4 linked regions of the Saccharomyces cerevisiae S288C genome follow. The main gene of each other region encodes a partner of the protein of the gene in region 3 in a complex. Each region holds a gene or a part of one and is shown on either strand. Other genes may lie near its edges. A codon is read from its position in the direction of its gene.

Evidence for each region.
Region 1: HSK3 (region 3) and ASK1 share a complex: the UniProt entries of both Saccharomyces cerevisiae proteins name them as parts of the DASH complex.
Region 2: the proteins of HSK3 (region 3) and DAD4 are in contact, whole or in part, in a cryo-EM structure (PDB 8Q84), measured with the Saccharomyces cerevisiae proteins. Residues at the interface, in NP_690844.1 of Saccharomyces cerevisiae: Asn2 (codon at 707), Asn4 (codon at 701), Lys5 (codon at 698), Gln8 (codon at 689), Tyr9 (codon at 686), Gln11 (codon at 680), Leu12 (codon at 677), Glu15 (codon at 668), Leu16 (codon at 665), Glu18 (codon at 659), Leu19 (codon at 656), Asn22 (codon at 647), Leu23 (codon at 644), Glu25 (codon at 638), Thr26 (codon at 635), Gln29 (codon at 626), Leu30 (codon at 623), Ile32 (codon at 617), Met33 (codon at 614), Gln36 (codon at 605), Asn40 (codon at 593), Leu41 (codon at 590), Gln44 (codon at 581), Leu45 (codon at 578), Val48 (codon at 569), His49 (codon at 566), Ser51 (codon at 560), Trp52 (codon at 557), Ile58 (codon at 539), Glu62 (codon at 527); in NP_710144.3 of Saccharomyces cerevisiae: Glu6 (codon at 2,572), Gln9 (codon at 2,581), Ala10 (codon at 2,584), Leu13 (codon at 2,593), Ser14 (codon at 2,596), Ile16 (codon at 2,602), Ile17 (codon at 2,605), Val20 (codon at 2,614), Lys21 (codon at 2,617), Leu23 (codon at 2,623), Asn24 (codon at 2,626), Val27 (codon at 2,635), Leu30 (codon at 2,644), Asn31 (codon at 2,647), Leu34 (codon at 2,656), Val35 (codon at 2,659), Asn38 (codon at 2,668), Asn41 (codon at 2,677), Leu44 (codon at 2,686), Glu45 (codon at 2,689), Met47 (codon at 2,695), Gly48 (codon at 2,698), Ala49 (codon at 2,701), Cys51 (codon at 2,707), Asp52 (codon at 2,710), Tyr54 (codon at 2,716), His55 (codon at 2,719), Leu72 (codon at 2,770).
Region 4: the proteins of HSK3 (region 3) and SPC19 are in contact, whole or in part, in a cryo-EM structure (PDB 8Q84), measured with the Saccharomyces cerevisiae proteins. Residues at the interface, in NP_690844.1 of Saccharomyces cerevisiae: Met1 (codon at 710), Asn2 (codon at 707), Lys5 (codon at 698), Gln6 (codon at 695), Tyr9 (codon at 686), Asn10 (codon at 683), Leu12 (codon at 677), Ala13 (codon at 674), Leu16 (codon at 665), Arg17 (codon at 662), Leu19 (codon at 656), Gln20 (codon at 653), Leu23 (codon at 644), Gln24 (codon at 641), Thr27 (codon at 632), Leu30 (codon at 623), Asp31 (codon at 620), Ser34 (codon at 611), Asn38 (codon at 599), Val42 (codon at 587), Lys47 (codon at 572), Ile54 (codon at 551); in NP_010487.3 of Saccharomyces cerevisiae: Met1 (codon at 998), Ala4 (codon at 989), Leu5 (codon at 986), Gln7 (codon at 980), Ser8 (codon at 977), Leu10 (codon at 971), Ala11 (codon at 968), Leu12 (codon at 965), Gly14 (codon at 959), Thr15 (codon at 956), Val18 (codon at 947), Leu19 (codon at 944), Ser22 (codon at 935), Ser25 (codon at 926), Leu26 (codon at 923), Ala29 (codon at 914), Ser33 (codon at 902), Leu36 (codon at 893), Met40 (codon at 881).

Annotation. Positions count from the first base shown.
Region 1 is NC_001143.9:338,148-343,192, reverse strand, and holds ASK1 (Ask1p), read left to right. Parts: upstream 1-2,646; coding exon 2,647-3,525; downstream 3,526-5,045. Other genes in the region: LPX2 (Lpx2p), read left to right, coding at 1-341; SFK1 (Sfk1p), read right to left, coding at 820-1,881; MDM35 (Mdm35p), read left to right, coding at 3,751-4,011; DNA damage-responsive RNA polymerase-degradation factor DEF1, read left to right, coding at 4,440-5,045. UniProt on the Saccharomyces cerevisiae protein: Component of the DASH complex that connects microtubules with kinetochores and couples microtubule depolymerisation to chromosome movement; it is involved in retrieving kinetochores to the spindle poles before their re-orientation on the spindle in early mitosis and allows microtubule depolymerization to pull chromosomes apart and resist detachment during anaphase.
Region 2 is NC_001136.10:1,106,705-1,111,054, reverse strand, and holds DAD4 (Dad4p), read left to right. Parts: upstream 1-2,556; coding exon 2,557-2,775; downstream 2,776-4,350. Other genes in the region: mitochondrial 54S ribosomal protein mL38 MRPL35, read right to left, coding at 1-466; asparaginase ASP1, read right to left, coding at 1,208-2,353; auxilin-like protein SWA2, read left to right, coding at 2,954-4,350. UniProt on the Saccharomyces cerevisiae protein: Component of the DASH complex that connects microtubules with kinetochores and couples microtubule depolymerisation to chromosome movement; it is involved in retrieving kinetochores to the spindle poles before their re-orientation on the spindle in early mitosis and allows microtubule depolymerization to pull chromosomes apart and resist detachment during anaphase.
Region 3 is NC_001143.9:184,303-186,861, forward strand, and holds HSK3 (Hsk3p), read right to left. Parts: upstream 711-2,559; coding exon 501-710; downstream 1-500. Other genes in the region: cyclin-dependent serine/threonine protein kinase CTK1, read left to right, coding at 1-242; mitochondrial 54S ribosomal protein mL60 MRPL31, read right to left, coding at 984-1,379; CMC1 (Cmc1p), read left to right, coding at 1,655-1,990; APL2 (Apl2p), read right to left, coding at 2,158-2,559. UniProt on the Saccharomyces cerevisiae protein: Component of the DASH complex that connects microtubules with kinetochores and couples microtubule depolymerisation to chromosome movement; it is involved in retrieving kinetochores to the spindle poles before their re-orientation on the spindle in early mitosis and allows microtubule depolymerization to pull chromosomes apart and resist detachment during anaphase.
Region 4 is NC_001136.10:852,914-857,314, reverse strand, and holds SPC19 (Spc19p), read right to left. Parts: upstream 999-4,401; coding exon 501-998; downstream 1-500. Other genes in the region: RAV2 (Rav2p), read left to right, coding at 1-417; VPS64 (Vps64p), read left to right, coding at 1,222-3,036; RKM2 (protein-lysine N-methyltransferase), read left to right, coding at 3,343-4,401. UniProt on the Saccharomyces cerevisiae protein: Component of the DASH complex that connects microtubules with kinetochores and couples microtubule depolymerisation to chromosome movement; it is involved in retrieving kinetochores to the spindle poles before their re-orientation on the spindle in early mitosis and allows microtubule depolymerization to pull chromosomes apart and resist detachment during anaphase.

The sequences.
Region 1 (5,045 bases), 150 kb from region 3:
CTTCAAGACCAGCGGCGAACAGTGGAGGCTCCATAACGATAGAACAATTTTTATTTAATAAGAATGCCGATAAACAAGGACTATCCAAAACAGAGTCTGTAACTATGAAGAGGGAGCCTGTGGTGGATCAAATGGACTCAAAAAAGGGGCACGATTTTACCCATTGTAACGACAACGGCCGCCGGTCTTTTAGTGGCTTTTCTCAAGGTTCGATAGAAAATGATTATAGTAATGAAGTTACAGATGATCAAGACGATCAAGAGGGATCGGAGATAAGAGTTCGCGATTCCAACGATTCCAATACCTCTCCTAAGGAAAGTTTTTTCAAAGAGGTTATCTAACTTTCTATCAATCGTTTGATGATAACCGGTGCCGCTACTCGCTGTAATATATACCTTAATGTTGGTTTTGTTATATTTTTTTTCATTACTTTTATTTTTTTTTTATTTTTCTGATTAATATTTATTTATTCTAGGTACATCAAGAGCAGAACAAATTTGCCAACTTAAACTACATATGCTGAACAATATTCTCTTTTTAATTTCTAGCTTTTAACGCAATGACCATTGTGGACAATGCGAAATATGTCAAAAAAAAAAGCAGCCAGAAGAAATTCTTCGGCAAAAGGAAAACTACTATACAGATTGAGAAGCATAGAATTAGGTATTAGTTACATCAGTAACGGGGATAACAAAAATAAAAGGGGGAAATGATGACGATGTTCTTGCAAGTTTTATTAAATTGTGCTTTGGAAAGAAAAAGATGAATATATCTTGCAGGTTAGAGGGTATTTCCTAGTCAAGTCTAGCATATATGAGGTCATACGACTACTTGAATAGATTCGTTGGAAGAGGAATTATTGTAAATATTTGAAGATGCTGTTTCTGTGGCAATCACGCCGGCGTTATCGTCCGAAGGCAAAACGTCTTCACTGTGGTAGAGGCCTAGCGCCTTGTCATACTTGTAATAACCCGAAAATGATTCCACGTGGTTGAAATAGCGGGATTGTCTGTATCTTCCACCTAAATAAAAGTCGGCGGAAAGAATCATAAATATGATACCAAACCAAAATGCTAGCAACCATTCGAAACAAGCACTCTTAGATCTATCATTGATAGCACCAAAACAAATGGCCCATACAACTGCGAGAGTTAACCATATAACTTTTAGAGTTGCACTGATGGTAAATTTATTCCATACATGGCCTTTCCATTTATACCAAGGCAGCTCATCCACAGTGTTATAATCTTGGTTAAAGCTTTTTTCAGATGATTGAGGATTGAAATGAGGGCTGGCTAGGGGGTGGACTGAGGCATAGTGCCTTCCCATGAGGAAATACTCTGCAATCAAGCAGCAAGTGGATAGGAACATGAAGACGACGAAAACAGAGACCATAGCAATGTGAACGCGATGGTACAGGGCGGTTGAGAAGATGGAACTGAATAAAAGGGCTAGTTCACCAATGCTGCCGAGAACAAAAGCTGCGAAAATCAGGTTCCGTTCATCCTTTGTGTAATATGGAGGCATTAAGTATTTACCGCTGTGCAATTTCTCAGCATAAGATGTGGAATCAGAGATAGAAGGGTCTTTTTTTTTCAGTTGGAAAGGCAGATAGCCGGATCTTTGAAAAAACTCAAGGGCAACAGTGATTACATAGCCTAGACCCTGCCAGCCGGCGCACGATATAAACAGTGGCCTTAAATTAGTGGCACCTATATCTGAAATGTACACAGGGAATTGCTCCGAGTGCATGAACCAATATATGGGATGGCCTTGACTGGCCCAGCAAATAAGCATGGCTATCAGCATACCATACCATGGAATGAAGGCAATCCAGGGTACTATGAACAGCCAGTTACCTGGACTTTTAAATTGAATCATGCTATTGCTTGTACCTTCTATGTGTTTTTACTATGTAGCAGAACTTTTTACTATGAATGTTAAAAGTATCTAAAGGAAAAAAAATCCCGCAAAAAATTGTGTCTTATTATTTAGGTTTTTAGTTGTCCAGATGTTAAATCAGTAAATCTCAACTTCAGGGAATAACTATATTTATAAACTGAATGCCCCTAAGAAGGAGTGAAAATTCCGGTTTCATTCTCCTTCGCTTAGATGACAAATCTTCCAGGCTGAAAAAAGTTGCTATTTTTCCAGTTTTTTTTTTTCATCCATTTACTTTACTGCCGCGGATCCTTCAATTGAACAGAGCCCTTAAGCCGCAGAGGGGTAAGAGATCTTCGTTTTTGAACAGCCGTGGAAGATGTTTAGAGTTGGATATGGCTGGCAAGACCGTTGTGTTAGTCTTCATTGATAATCTTGGGCCTTATCCCGTCCTACTTGCACTATTATAGTGGAAATGCGATATGTCCGGTGCGTCATAGAGGAACGGAGGCCCTTGCTTGATTAGTAGCTACTCCGATTAAATGCGGTAGTGCCGCGCGGGTAACAGAACAGCGAGTTTTTCCTGTTTTCTTTTCCGTTCTTTTCCGTTTGTTTCCGTTCTTTTCCGTTTTTTTTTTCCGTTTTTTTGGTTTGTTTTGGTGAGCTGAGGCATCAACAAAATAGATATCTACAGTTTGGGGTGGGAATAGAGCCAGGTTGATCAACGTATGGAAAGAGCAACATAAGGGATTGTTGACACAAAAAATGGATTCTGCAAGCAAAGAGGAAACATTGGAAAAACTTGATCAAGAAATTACAGTGAACCTGCAGAAGATAGACTCTAACTTGAGTTTCTGCTTTCATAAGATCACCCAGGACATCATCCCACACGTGGCTACATATTCAGAAATATGTGAGCGGATCATGGATAGCACCGAATGGCTGGGGACTATGTTTCAAGAGACTGGGCTGGTGAATTTGCAGGCAAATGCAGCTGCACCAGTGGGAAACGCTCCAGTCAAAAGCCTTGTGAGCAATAATGTTGGTATATTTCCTACATCCGCTGAAGAGGCGAGTAGGCAGTCCCAGACAGACAATGGGCCTAACGAGGCAGATTCAGCTGTACATGTCAACCGGGATGTCCATTCTATGTTTAATAACGACAGTATAGATGATTTCCACACAGCGAATATAACATCCACGGGACAGATATTGAAACTTCCGGACTCTAGCGACGAAGATACTGGTTCAGAGGCGGTGCCTTCAAGGGAGCAAACAGACCTTACAGGCGAGGGTCATGGTGGAGCTGATGATGAGCAAGATGAAAGTACAATACAGAGACAAAGCCGCAAAAGAAAGATTTCGCTACTTTTGCAGCAGCAGTACGGGTCTAGTTCCAGCATGGTACCGTCTCCGATTGTGCCCAATAAAATGCGGAAGCAACTGGCTCATGAAGAACATATTAATAACGACGGCGATAACGACGATGAGAACAGCAATAATATAGAGAGCTCGCCTCTGAAGCAGGGGCACCACCACCCGAAGGGACAAGCGGATGATAACAACGAAGGGCCCGATGAAGAAGAGAGTACGAAAGAAGTACCAAAGCCTGGGACCATCATTCATTTTTCTACGAATAGATAGAATAAATAAGTACATACAATTTTTACTAGTGATGAATATCAGAACGCAGGGTAATGGGCCCGCTATATTTTTTCTTCGATATAGGGAGAGCCACATTCAGAATATTCAGAGTATTTGCATGTAGAAATTTATTCTAAGTGCGCCAGATATATGCCGGGAGAGGTCATTAGAAAACATCTGTTTGTGTTTTAACTTGAATTACAATAACAATAATACCAGTTTTATATGGGGAATATAATGTCAGCTAGTTTTGCGCCTGAATGCACTGACCTGAAGACGAAATACGATAGTTGTTTTAATGAATGGTATAGCGAAAAATTCCTGAAGGGAAAATCCGTTGAGAACGAGTGCTCAAAACAATGGTACGCTTATACTACATGTGTCAACGCAGCTCTCGTCAAACAAGGTATTAAGCCTGCTCTAGACGAAGCTAGGGAGGAGGCGCCGTTTGAAAATGGCGGCAAACTAAAAGAAGTTGACAAATGAAGTATATATTTTAGCACAGAATGTGCATTATTCAACATGTAAATACTAATACTGCAATATCGACTTATAATAATGTATAGTGATCCGTATATTAATAGATCTGTTTCAATTCTTTACCTTTTTAGGATATCCGTCACCCGTGATTCCGTCGGAGGTGAGCACTCGCCCAAATAAATAACGGGAAATGGTGGCAAAAAGTAGTGGCGGGAAAAGGAAAAATTTTCGTTCTCTCCCATATAAACGTTTCATTCCTTTTCCTAAGTCTTTTACAGTAATTTCAGAAACATTCGTATTTTATATTTGATCTTTTGAAGCTACAAGAAAAACTCTTACCAATTACCCCAAAAAAATCACCATCATAAAGTACTTACATATTTATTTTTGTTTGGTCGTTTTCTCAATATAATCTACATCATCATATATATATAATGTCTACACAATTTAGGAAGTCTAATCATAATAGTCATAGTAGTAAAAAACTAAATCCTGCGCTAAAGTCCAAAATAGATACGCTTACAGAATTGTTCCCTGACTGGACGAGTGATGATTTAATTGATATAGTTCAAGAATATGATGATTTGGAAACTATAATTGATAAAATTACTTCCGGCGCAGTGACAAGATGGGATGAAGTAAAGAAACCTGCTAAGAAGGAAAAATATGAAAAAAAGGAGCAACAACACTCATATGTCCCTCAACAACATTTGCCAAATCCAGAAGATGATATTACATATAAGAGTTCTAATAATAGCAATTCTTTTACTTCTACAAAGCATAACAGTAGTAACAATTATACTCAAGCCAGAAATAAGAAGAAGGTACAAACACCACGAGCTCATACAACCGGGAAACATGTTAATCTCGACAAGGGGAAGCACGTACCATCCAAGCCTGTTTCAAACACTACATCGTGGGCAGCAGCTGTTTCTGTAGATACTAAACATGACGTTCCTCAAGATTCAAATGATAACAATAATGAAGAATTAGAAGCACAAGGGCAACAAGCGCAGGAGAAAAATCAAGAAAAAGAGCAA
Region 2 (4,350 bases), on a different chromosome or scaffold from region 3:
TCAATAACATCTGGCCGTACGATTCCCAATGTTGTTTCCCCAAATGTCTGTACACTGGCACATCATAATCTATTATATCCTTAACATTGTTCAACTTGTTATTAAACTGAAAATTGTATTGTACCTCAGGATTATTGATCTCTGCTTTTATGAGAAGTGCATCCTTCTTCAAGGGATTTTTAGTCTTATTGGCCAACTCATAAAACTTACTGGATCTTTGCTCAAGAAAATCATAACTCATCCTGAAAATCTCATCAATGTGTTCTGGAGGTGAATATTTGATACGGTTACTTCTTCTGCTGATAGATGGTGGGTCTAGAGAAGCTTTCTTCTGGAAAAGGTAATTTTTCACTTTTGAAGATTGGATAGAAAGTGAACTAGGCCTTGTGGTAAAGTCCGACCAAATATGCGAAGTAGCATTAGGTTTTTGGAGGATTTTAGTGGTATGAATAGATCTTCGTAACATAGTTCGGCAGTGACCTTGATTTCTGTAAAGATCTCTGAATAAGCTTTTTGCTGTAGTCTGATATTGTATTGGATACTGTTGTCTTATCCCAGACCTTCCGGCTTCCGGTTTAGCCCGGAAAATTTGAAAAGACTGCGACAGTAAATCCCAAACACATAAGAAAATAAAAAAAGGAATACATAAACAAAAATGGATATATAAAGGCTAATTTTTTTTTGTTTATCAAATATTCCTTATTTTTTAACTTTCTTAAAAATATTTAAACACCAGATTTCGAAAAAAGTAATATTTATTCTTTAAAAATGCGGTGACCAGCGGGCGATGATAATCAAATATTTAAAAATGATATAATGATAAAACTTGAATTATTTTTATAGGAAAAGTGGAACCAAAAGATTTTCTAATGCACTGATATCATGAGCAGTTAATGAAAAATTATTAATATTATTTTTTTTATATTTTTATTCAAAAATAACATTCAAAATTTAATTTTAATAAACTCATTTAAAAAAAACCTCTAAAAACATGAAGATAGAACTATAATAACGGCTTCAGTATTCAAGACAAAGCCATGTGCAGGTGAAACGATAGAAAAGTGACATAGCCGAGACAATCTAAATGAAGAATTCCTGTACTCATCTCAGACTAGCATTAACAGGGACTTGCATAATTATATCTCTATCTCTGTGTCTATGTATATATATATATATATCGACACAAATGCAAAAAATTACAAAATTTTCACCCACCATAGACGCCAGTGAAAACATGTTTAATTTCTTCCAACGTGTAGTTACCTGCCAAACATAATTGTAACAAGATTCTGCTCTTTTCAGGGCTTAGATAACCAGATGCGATGAGATTATCCTCCTTTGAACCTTTCTTTGGTACGTTGGCAATAGGCACCATACCATCCATCGATCTCTTGGAATATACGATCGGCAAACTCAATTTCATGCAGGTTTCATTGACCTCCTCCGGCAATGAACCAGCACCCATGGTAGCAAGAACAATACCATCATACTTATCTGCCACTAAGTTGACTATAGCTGGCGGAAAGGCTTGGTGAGCATATAAAATGCAAACCTCTGGTAATTTAAAATGCTTACCGTCCACTCTCAGTTTGAATTTGTGGCAACCTTGCGGTTTCACAGGAGGATAATAGTAGTGAATTTCATTGTTGACAAAATTTCCTAAATAGCCTTGTCTAACATTAAAAGAATCCAAACTATTTGCATTCGTCTTAGTAATGTAGTAACCAGAGGAAATTTGGTCATTCAAGGAAACAAGAACACCTCTTCCTCTAGATTTTGGATTTGAAGCAATGCAAATTGCTTGGTAAAGGTTCATAGGGCCATCAGCAGAAACGCTGGTTGAAGGACGCATCGAACCAACAAAAACAATAGGAACGTCGCCAGCATCAATAGTACTTTCAATAAAGAATGCAGTTTCAGATAGCGTATCAGTCCCATGGGTAATAACTATACCGTCAAAAGCCTGCAACGATTCTGAGACGCCCTTATAAATTTTATAAAGAATATCCTCGTTTATGTCTTTAGAATCCACGTTGCATAGTTGCTCATATTCAATGTCACAGACCTTGGATATATCTGGAATGGCATCCAATAGATCTTGGATGGTCAGGTCAACATGATAGCCGGCAGTTTGAGAGGAGTCTATAGCTTTCGATGCAATAGTACCACCGGTACCCAAGATTTTGATTCTTGGTAAGCTACGTTGTTGGCAAGCGATGCCGCTGCCATTCACAGCGGCATTTTGAGACTTTAGAATCTCTGGAATAGTCTCTGGACAGTTGCTTTGCACAACAAACTGAGAATTTTCAACATCTGGGCAGATGGTAGTGATTTCAACTGAATCGCTTTTCATGATACGCTTCCAAAAGTGCGATGAGAGTGCTGTTATCCTCCACTGTCTTCAAACACATTTCTTCAACAAAGTCATCGTCATCATCTTTTTTTTTTTTTTTTCATCGAGTATTTTTTCACACGAACGGCACAAGTAGCCTTCAACTGTAATAAACAAAAGCAGATAGGGAGGAAAAGAAGTGAGTTTAGGAAAGAAAGCATAACATGGAGAACCCTCATGAACAAGTGCAGGCTAACATACTTTCGCGAATAATTGGTAATGTCAAAAGGCTCAATGAGAGCGTGGCAATTCTTAACCAGGAGCTTGTGACCATTAATAATCGGAACAAAAATCTAGAAATCATGGGCGCAATTTGTGATAACTACCATAGTAGCGTCCAATTCAACCTGGAAGCGACCAATAACAAGAAGCCACCTCTTTAATTCACCAATTTTCTATATACGCATACTCATATACACATATATATATGCTATACCGTTTCTAATATATTCATTTAAGATCACTGTTTCCTGCGAAAAGGAGAAAAAAATAACAGCACATCGCTTAACCTATTCCTGTGCTTCTGGAAAGGACGCAGCCTGCAAGAAACAGTCAACATCAATGTCAGATCCATTTGCACATTTACTGACTTCTTTGAAGAATAAGGACTCTGCATCTGCATCCAAGGAAACAACTCCTCAGAGCAGCAATTCGCCTTCCATTACTGGTTCCGCTGTTGCAGATGTTGCAAGGACGGATAAAAGCCCCAATGATAGTCTGCATTCAATTTCAGCTCCTCCGCTGATACCGTCACCGAAGGTAGATTTTTCTGCACCTCCTTTGGTCCCAACTAATAGCACCACTAAATCTAATACTGCCAACAACACACCTCCCTCGGCTCTTGCCAATACCGATGACGACTTCAATCAACTATTTGGTATGGGCACAGTAACTACAACGGATACGATCCAAAAACCGGATGAGGATTACTATGGAAGCAAGGAAGACCACCTTTACAATGGTGATGACGCCTTAGTTGATGAAGTTAAGGATATGGAAATAGCAAGATTGATGTCTCTAGGTTTATCAATTGAAGAAGCCACTGAGTTTTACGAAAATGACGTAACTTATGAAAGATATTTGGAGATTTTAAAGTCAAAGCAAAAGGAGCGCAACGATCTAGCTATAAGAAAGAAAGAAAGTGGTATAAAAATGGAAAAGTCAGGATTATCCAACATTGTTGGTACAGATAGCAATAATTTATTCAGCATGGCCACTGATTTTTTCAATAAGGGTAAGAAACTGGTAGACCAATGGACCTCCTTCCCACCTGAGGCAAATGATAGACTGAATAATTACTCAAAAACTCATGATAAGGTTGAGGATTATGATTTGCCTCAAGTAAACGACTCACCCAATAGAATTTTGTTTGAAGATAATGAAGTCGTAGAGAACTTACCACCTGCCGATAATCCGGATCAAGATCTTTTAACTGATTTCGAAACAAAGATTGATATAACAAAGAGGACAGCGCCTGATGTCTCCCACTCCTCCTCACCGACTTCTGGTATACTAATTGAAGAAAATTCGCGAAGAAATGAGCCCCTGATAGAGGATAGTCTTCTCGACTTTTCAGAAGGAAATCTCACCAATAGTAAAAGCAATGAAGATAGCACCCTCTTCAATGAAAACAGCAACACTGACTCTACAATACCCATCTCAGATATTGAATTATCGGGGTATAACGAATTTAAGGCGAAAGGTACTAGTTTGTTCAAGAACGGGGATTATATTAACTCATTACAAGAATATGAAAAGTCTTTAAATACATTGCCTTTAAATCATCCATTGAGGATCATTGCATTATCAAACATTATTGCCTCGCAACTGAAAATCGGTGAGTACTCTAAGTCCATAGAAAACTCCAGCATGGCTTTGGAATTATTCCCATCAAGCAAAGCTAAGTGGAAGAATAAAATCTCAAATAGTGACCCTGAAAGATCATTTAACGACATCTG
Region 3 (2,559 bases):
TGTTATGTTATGATCAGACGAAAAGGTTTAGTGCAACCGAAGCTTTACAAAGCGACTATTTCAAGGAAGAACCAAAGCCTGAACCTTTAGTTCTTGATGGATTGGTAAGTTGCCACGAATATGAAGTCAAATTGGCAAGAAAACAAAAGCGTCCTAACATACTATCCACCAACACAAACAATAAGGGTAATGGTAATAGTAATAATAATAATAATAATAATAATGACGATGATGATAAATAAGGATATATAGCCAATTGAAATAAGTAGACACAAAAAATAGATTAATAACTTATTTATTACGCGATACCCGTAAATATGATACGAACATCTAATTTCATGTGAAGCGGCCTAGTGAATAGAAGGTTTGCCTATTTTCACTCGTTCACTATACGTAACTTGGTTGTCTTTTTATGCAAGCTGTTTGTCCATCGTACCAACACCATCTCATTTCACATCTTATAAATTAGCCTGGCCACTAACTGTCTTACCTCTTATGCCTTATTGCGTTTTTCCAAGCATCTGCTCCATATAATAAATGTAACTACCTATCAACCAACTTCCATGTACCTTACCCAATTGGCCTACCAAGTTTTCGTTACATTGTTTCGACATGATATCTAGTTGTTTTGTCGTTTCCTGTAAATTCGTTTGAAGCTCTCTAAGTTCGTGTGCAAGCTGATTATACTGCCTTTGTTTGTTAGCGTTCATTCTCTTGCCTGAAATTCTTTGTGTCCTCTTCGTTTTGAAGTTCAAATGTTCTGATATGTTCTATTTCGCCATTTATCTTGTTGATCTTTCTTCCCACCTTTACAAAAAAATAACGTTGATTTCAATGGGCATGATATAATATGAGCAATACAAAACATCAAAGCCTTCTTAGGAGTGTTACTTTCAAACATGGATCTATAAACAAGTTATTCAATGATTAAACTATATACAGATGAAATTTTTATATCAATAAAACGATCTTTTACGTATCATTCAAAAGAATTTTGGGGCCTTTCTAATGGAAATCTTCGTCCACTTGGGCACCTTATGAATACCCTTCCTATAACCAACAGCTTTTTTATCAAAAGTCCAATATTTATCTTTAGAAGACATTTGATTCTCCTTTGGAAAGACTGATGGTTTGTTTAACAACCTTAACGATTTACTTCTTGGCTTGTATTTCTTTTTGCTCTCCATGGCTTCTTGATAAGTAAGACCTTTATCCTGACATCTTTGGACGTGGAGACCTAAAGTTAATTGCTTTATGACTTGATCAACGTTTCTTAATCTTTCCCTTTGACGGGTTTTTTGATGTGTGGACATTCTCCATGGAATTTTCCATAGTAGGCCACCAGCGACGGGGCTTGTTAATTTGAATGGGCCAAACATTGGAGTCTTATAACTTGGGTAGCCTTTTAAATACGTCTCCTTCCTACAAAGTACGGATATCTTTTTTCCCTCTTTGGCTTCCCTTTGTCCTTTTGTTATACCGTTCTCTTGAACTTTTTGAATGCTCTTGTACTTCTCCGATTATAAAGTTGAAAACGGAGTGCCCTGTATTTATACCTATGATAGTTTAGGAAGATTTAACCATAATTAAAGCCAGAGATACAAAAGTCGAATATCTTCAAGTTATCTGGAACAACTTTCATATATTTGATAAGATGGAGCAAAACAAAGATCCGCAGATGATCTCGAAACATAGTTCTAGGCTACCTATATGGGTGCTAAGTCCTCGCGAAGAACAACAGGCTCGCAAGAACTTGAAGACGGAAACATACAAAAAATGTGCAAATTTTGTTCAAGCAATGGCAGATTGTGCTAAGGCAAATGGAATGAAAGTTTTTCCCACTTGTGATAAGCAACGAGATGAAATGAAATCGTGCCTCCTGTTTTATCAAACAGATGAGAAATATTTAGATGGTGAAAGGGATAAAATTGTTTTAGAAAAAATCAACAAGCTTGAAAAGTTATGTCAAAAACAAAGCTCTACAAAATAAGCTGTGTTGATTGATGTTTTTGATTTACATCTTTTAAGGATTTTTTGATATATCCATTCTTGTACATAAATTATATACACACAGCCCAACAATAAAAAGGAAAAATTAATACGAAGGGTATATATGTATGGTATAATACTTAAGTTCACTACAACGGACGTTTATAGTCAGAATAAATCGAGGAGATCCTGTGACACTATATTGCCGCCCGAAACATCGGGATTGTTTTTACCACCAGAAGATATACCGTTTGAGTCGCCACCTAGTTTCAGCTCCTTCAACCCTTGTACAGCCTTGGTATCATTTGTATTTATTTGTGTGGCATCCTCAGATGGTCCGAAATCAAATAAATCATCCAAATCGCCTAAAGTTGTTAAAGTATTCAGCATTCCTGCATTTGTATTTGTTACATCATCTCTTTCATCAAAATCCAATAGCACATCATCGTTAGCCTTGCTAGAAATTTCATTTTTTGCCATGCTTTCTAATTCCTCTATATGTTTTCCTTTAACTATATTTTGAACATACTTTTTGCCTTTTCTCCTATTTGAGTCGGGCTTGAAATAAAT
Region 4 (4,401 bases), on a different chromosome or scaffold from region 3:
CTTTGCATAGAACTACGAAATCTAATTAAGGTGACTAAAAAACCTTGGTGCGAGATTGATAGTAAAACTGGCAGGTCATTTTGCGACCAAATAAGAAATCAAGTGACAAATGAAAGAAACAAAACTTTATCTAAGATCCTCTCAGAAAACGGTGTACAAGTCCAGGATTCCACATTACTTAACCACATAATTTCTTCTTTTCAAAGTGAAGCTATAACACTTCCAGAAGCTCAGGAATTATTAAGAAGGGGCGTTACTTTCGATAATAGGGTAGTCATGGAATGTGAAAAGTTAATAGTATCTACAAGTGATCCAACTTTGATCAGTATAAGCGCCAAATTGAACAGTCTCAAAGCTTCGATGGCGAACCATCAAGCAAATTTGGTAGCTAGCAAACAGTTAAGTACATATAAGTAATCTACTAGCGATAACATTAACAATAATTTATAATACAAACTGGATAAAGAGATAAATGGATGCTTTAAAAAATAAACTTCTAACTATTTCTGTTTGAGTATTTCCAACTTATTCTCCAGTTGCTTCTTCTTTTCCTTTAGTTTCTTCAATTCTTCCAATTCCTCATTAGTAGAAGATGCCATCATAACCACGTCGTCCGCGTCTCTGCCTTCGTATTCTTGACCCATGTCTGGACTATTCAGAGCATCATCGTCATCCATACTAATGTTCTTCTTTAGCCTTAAATCGTTTAATTCATAAGTTTGCTGCAAAGTATCGAGTTCCCTTTGCATTCTACCCATAGATTTACGTAACTTATCGCCCAGAGTCCTAACCAGCGGTTCTACCTCTTCAATCAAATCTAATTTTGATCTTTCAACATCATATTCGGGAACTAAACGGAAAACCCTTTTGGTTTGCAACATTGTCGATGCAAGGTTCGTGCTTGGCTCATTTGCACATTTTAAAGACTCCACAGAATCCTTCAATACTGAAACTGTTCCCTCCAACGCAAGGACGCTCTGTTCCAAAGCATCTGTCATGGTTATTTTGCCTATCCTTCAATTCGTACACAGATATATGCGTCTGTGATCTGTTTATTATTCATTTTCATTGTTGCTAACTACTACGCCCTGTGAAAACAAACTTTATAATCGCCAATAATAAATACATAATGAAAGTAAATCGCAATCCGGACCCCACGGATAGTCACCAGTCTCACCAACTGGAAATTAGAAGGAAGGAAGACAACTGTAAATTCTTGGCATGGTAGAACTGGAAAAAAGAAGACGGCCCCCTCCGCAACTGCAACATTCTCCCTATGTTAGGGATCAATCGAATTCGCAGGGAATGACAAAGACGCCAGAAACGTCACCGCCTAAGAGGCCCATGGGAAGAGCTAGATCAAACTCGAGAAGCAGTGGATCCCGTTCAAATGTCGATATAGATCAGTATACCATACCACCAGGCTTAGATTTGTTGCCTACCGCTTCATCTCCACCTTCCGTCCATCAAGTTTCACAACAGCAACAATTATCCCCAATATTAGCCAACAAAATCCGTTCTCCATTTGAAAATCAAAGTCAGGATCAAAATGACAATTCAATAGACCCAACACCGGCTGGACAAGTAACAATTCCTGTAGAAGCCGTATCTCCACCGGCACTGGACGAATTATCGAAATTCCAAAATGGTTCAACTGAGACATTATTTAGAACTGGATCACCCCGTAAGAAGCATACACATATTATTATACTCAAATCCTTAAATGCAACTTTTGAGACCAAGTTTCTTGTTGTACCATTTAAACCTGACGGACTTAAATTAGGTCGACCAGTTACCAATAGCGTAAACAAGAATAATTCAGGATCGAAAAGAGATTTATTTTCGCAACAAGTTAGACCAGATAACGGAAATTTTGACTCAAGAGTTCTTTCCAGAAATCACGCTTGTCTCAGTTGTGATCCTACATCAGGAAAGATATATATTCGCGATCTAAAGTCCAGCAATGGGACATTTGTTAATGGGGTTAAAATACGCCAAAATGATGTAGAATTAAAAGTTGGTGATACTGTGGATTTGGGAACTGATATTGACTCAAAGTTTGAACATAGAAAAATCAGTGCGTATGTGGAAGAGATTTCAGTAATTCCCTTAATGAACACTGTATCTGATCCCACAAATTTGGTGATGAAAAAACAAGATCATACTAATAAGAATAATGGGAACTCCACTAATATAAACGGAATAAAGATAGACAGAGGTCATCATAATCAACACATTCCAATACGATCTCATTTAAAGGAAAATTATACCGAAGCTGGTGTAACATCTGCAACAACGGCTCAAAGGGCAGCCTTTGAGGCAGCTATGTTTGGAGATATTAATAACTCAGAATTAGATGATGATATTTTAGGTCCAGAAACTGAGGTTCTCAGTGGAATTTTTATCAACAATTCAGCAGGTACAAGCATAAATTTGATAAATATGATAAAAACTTTGACTACTGAGCTGTCCTTAGAAAAACAAGAGCTGGAAAAATTACATTCCATGCAAAACTTTATGCAAAACTATACGATAAACCTTGATTTCATCAATAAGCACATGATTGATATGAATGAAAAGCATTTACTGAAACTGAGCACGGCTTTACAAAAAACTCTATCAGAAAATAATGATGCGCTACTCAAAGAATCGGAAGATCAATTAAAAGAAATCAAACAACAAAATAATAAAGTAAAATCTGCATGTAGCTTGAAGGAAAAACAAAACCATGAAAAGCTACAGGAGCTCGAAAGTGAATTAAGAGAGCTGAACCTTCAAATAGAAGAAGAGAGGGGAAAAAATTTAGTTTTAACACAAAGCAATTTTAATGGTGGTATTAACAATGACAATAACGCTAAAGTAAAACAAAATGATTCAAGAGAAGAAAAAAAGGATACCGAAGATACATTAATAAGCACTGAAGAACTAGGAGTCGTCGAAGGCAAGAGAACAAGAGTTAGTAAGGGAATGCTCTTTGGAGTAGTTGCCATTTCATTCGGTTTAGTTGCGACGGCCGTTAAGCAATTGCCACAATAACTCGAAAGAAGAAAAATACTACAAGCATAATCTACAAAGCAAAAACAGGGCTTGTCCTGTAGAAATGAGAAAAACCATATATTATAAATAAGCACATATTCCATATACTTTGAATATTGTTTTGCAATTCTGATCCACACTCTTTTTTTTCATTTTTTCAAGATTTCTTGATTAAGTAAAATTAAAAAAAAATTCGGGAACTCAAGCTAAAACTGGATGCGTCTACTCATCACCTATAGTCTCAAGATTGTCGAAGATACAGATTTTGAATAAATATCTACAAAAAAGTTACATAGTAAATTGCGAATGGAAGGAAAGGTTGATGTCTTGCTAACATGGCTGAAAAAATCAGATAAGTTTTATATAGCACCAAACATCAGCATCTGTGAATCGCCAGAAACTGGCAGAGGGATCGTCCTCAGTCACGGTTCGATAAGAAAAAACGATATCATTGTATCAGTACCGAGCTCGAAGCAACTAAATTTTCACACTATCCTCTATCATATTTCAAAGTTTAATAAAGAGCTGAATATTCCTGGTATCACAATCGATAGAAAGCCAATCAATTATGAGGACAATATTATTGAAGCGGAAAATAAAGCCTGGGCCGATCCTAGATATGGATTATATTCCGAATTATCGAAAGAGTTTTTGTTAAGTTTATCATCATTTCAATTGGTATCATTTTATATATTGGTTGAAAATTTTCTATTGCCAAAATGGACTCACAATGAAATCTACTCAGATTGGAAACCATTCTTTGATGTATGGCCCTCAATGGAGGAGCTGCGATCAATCCCAGCCATTTGGAACTGTGATCCCAATTCACGTTACCATTCACTGATTGAATATCTCCCTGCTGCCTCACGAAAGCATATGGCAAGAATTAGTGGCCTTGTCAGAGAAGATTGGGAAACCATTTCAGAGGTGGTTTTGAAATGGAATGAAATTTACGGCTCCTTAAGCTGTACGAAAAATTCTGATAAATTTACTAGTGATGAGTTATTCTCCCTTTTTGTACATGTTTATTTTATTATAAACTCAAGATGTCTTTATGCGAAGATTCCGTTGAAAATAGAGGACTCCCCAAGCAATTTCACTTTAGTGCCGTATGTCGATTTCATGAACCACATTTGTGAGTCGGATTTGCACTGCTATCCTCAGTTAAGTCCTCAGTTGAGGTCAGAAGGAGAAAACATCATTGGAATTGGACAATTTACCATTAGATGCGGCGATCACCTCTATGACAACATTAACGAGGAGCTCTTTTTGAATTATGGTGCACACTCAAATGATTTTTTACTGAACGAGTATGGATTTGTGGTAGACGGAAACAAATGGAACTACTTAGACATATCTGACGAA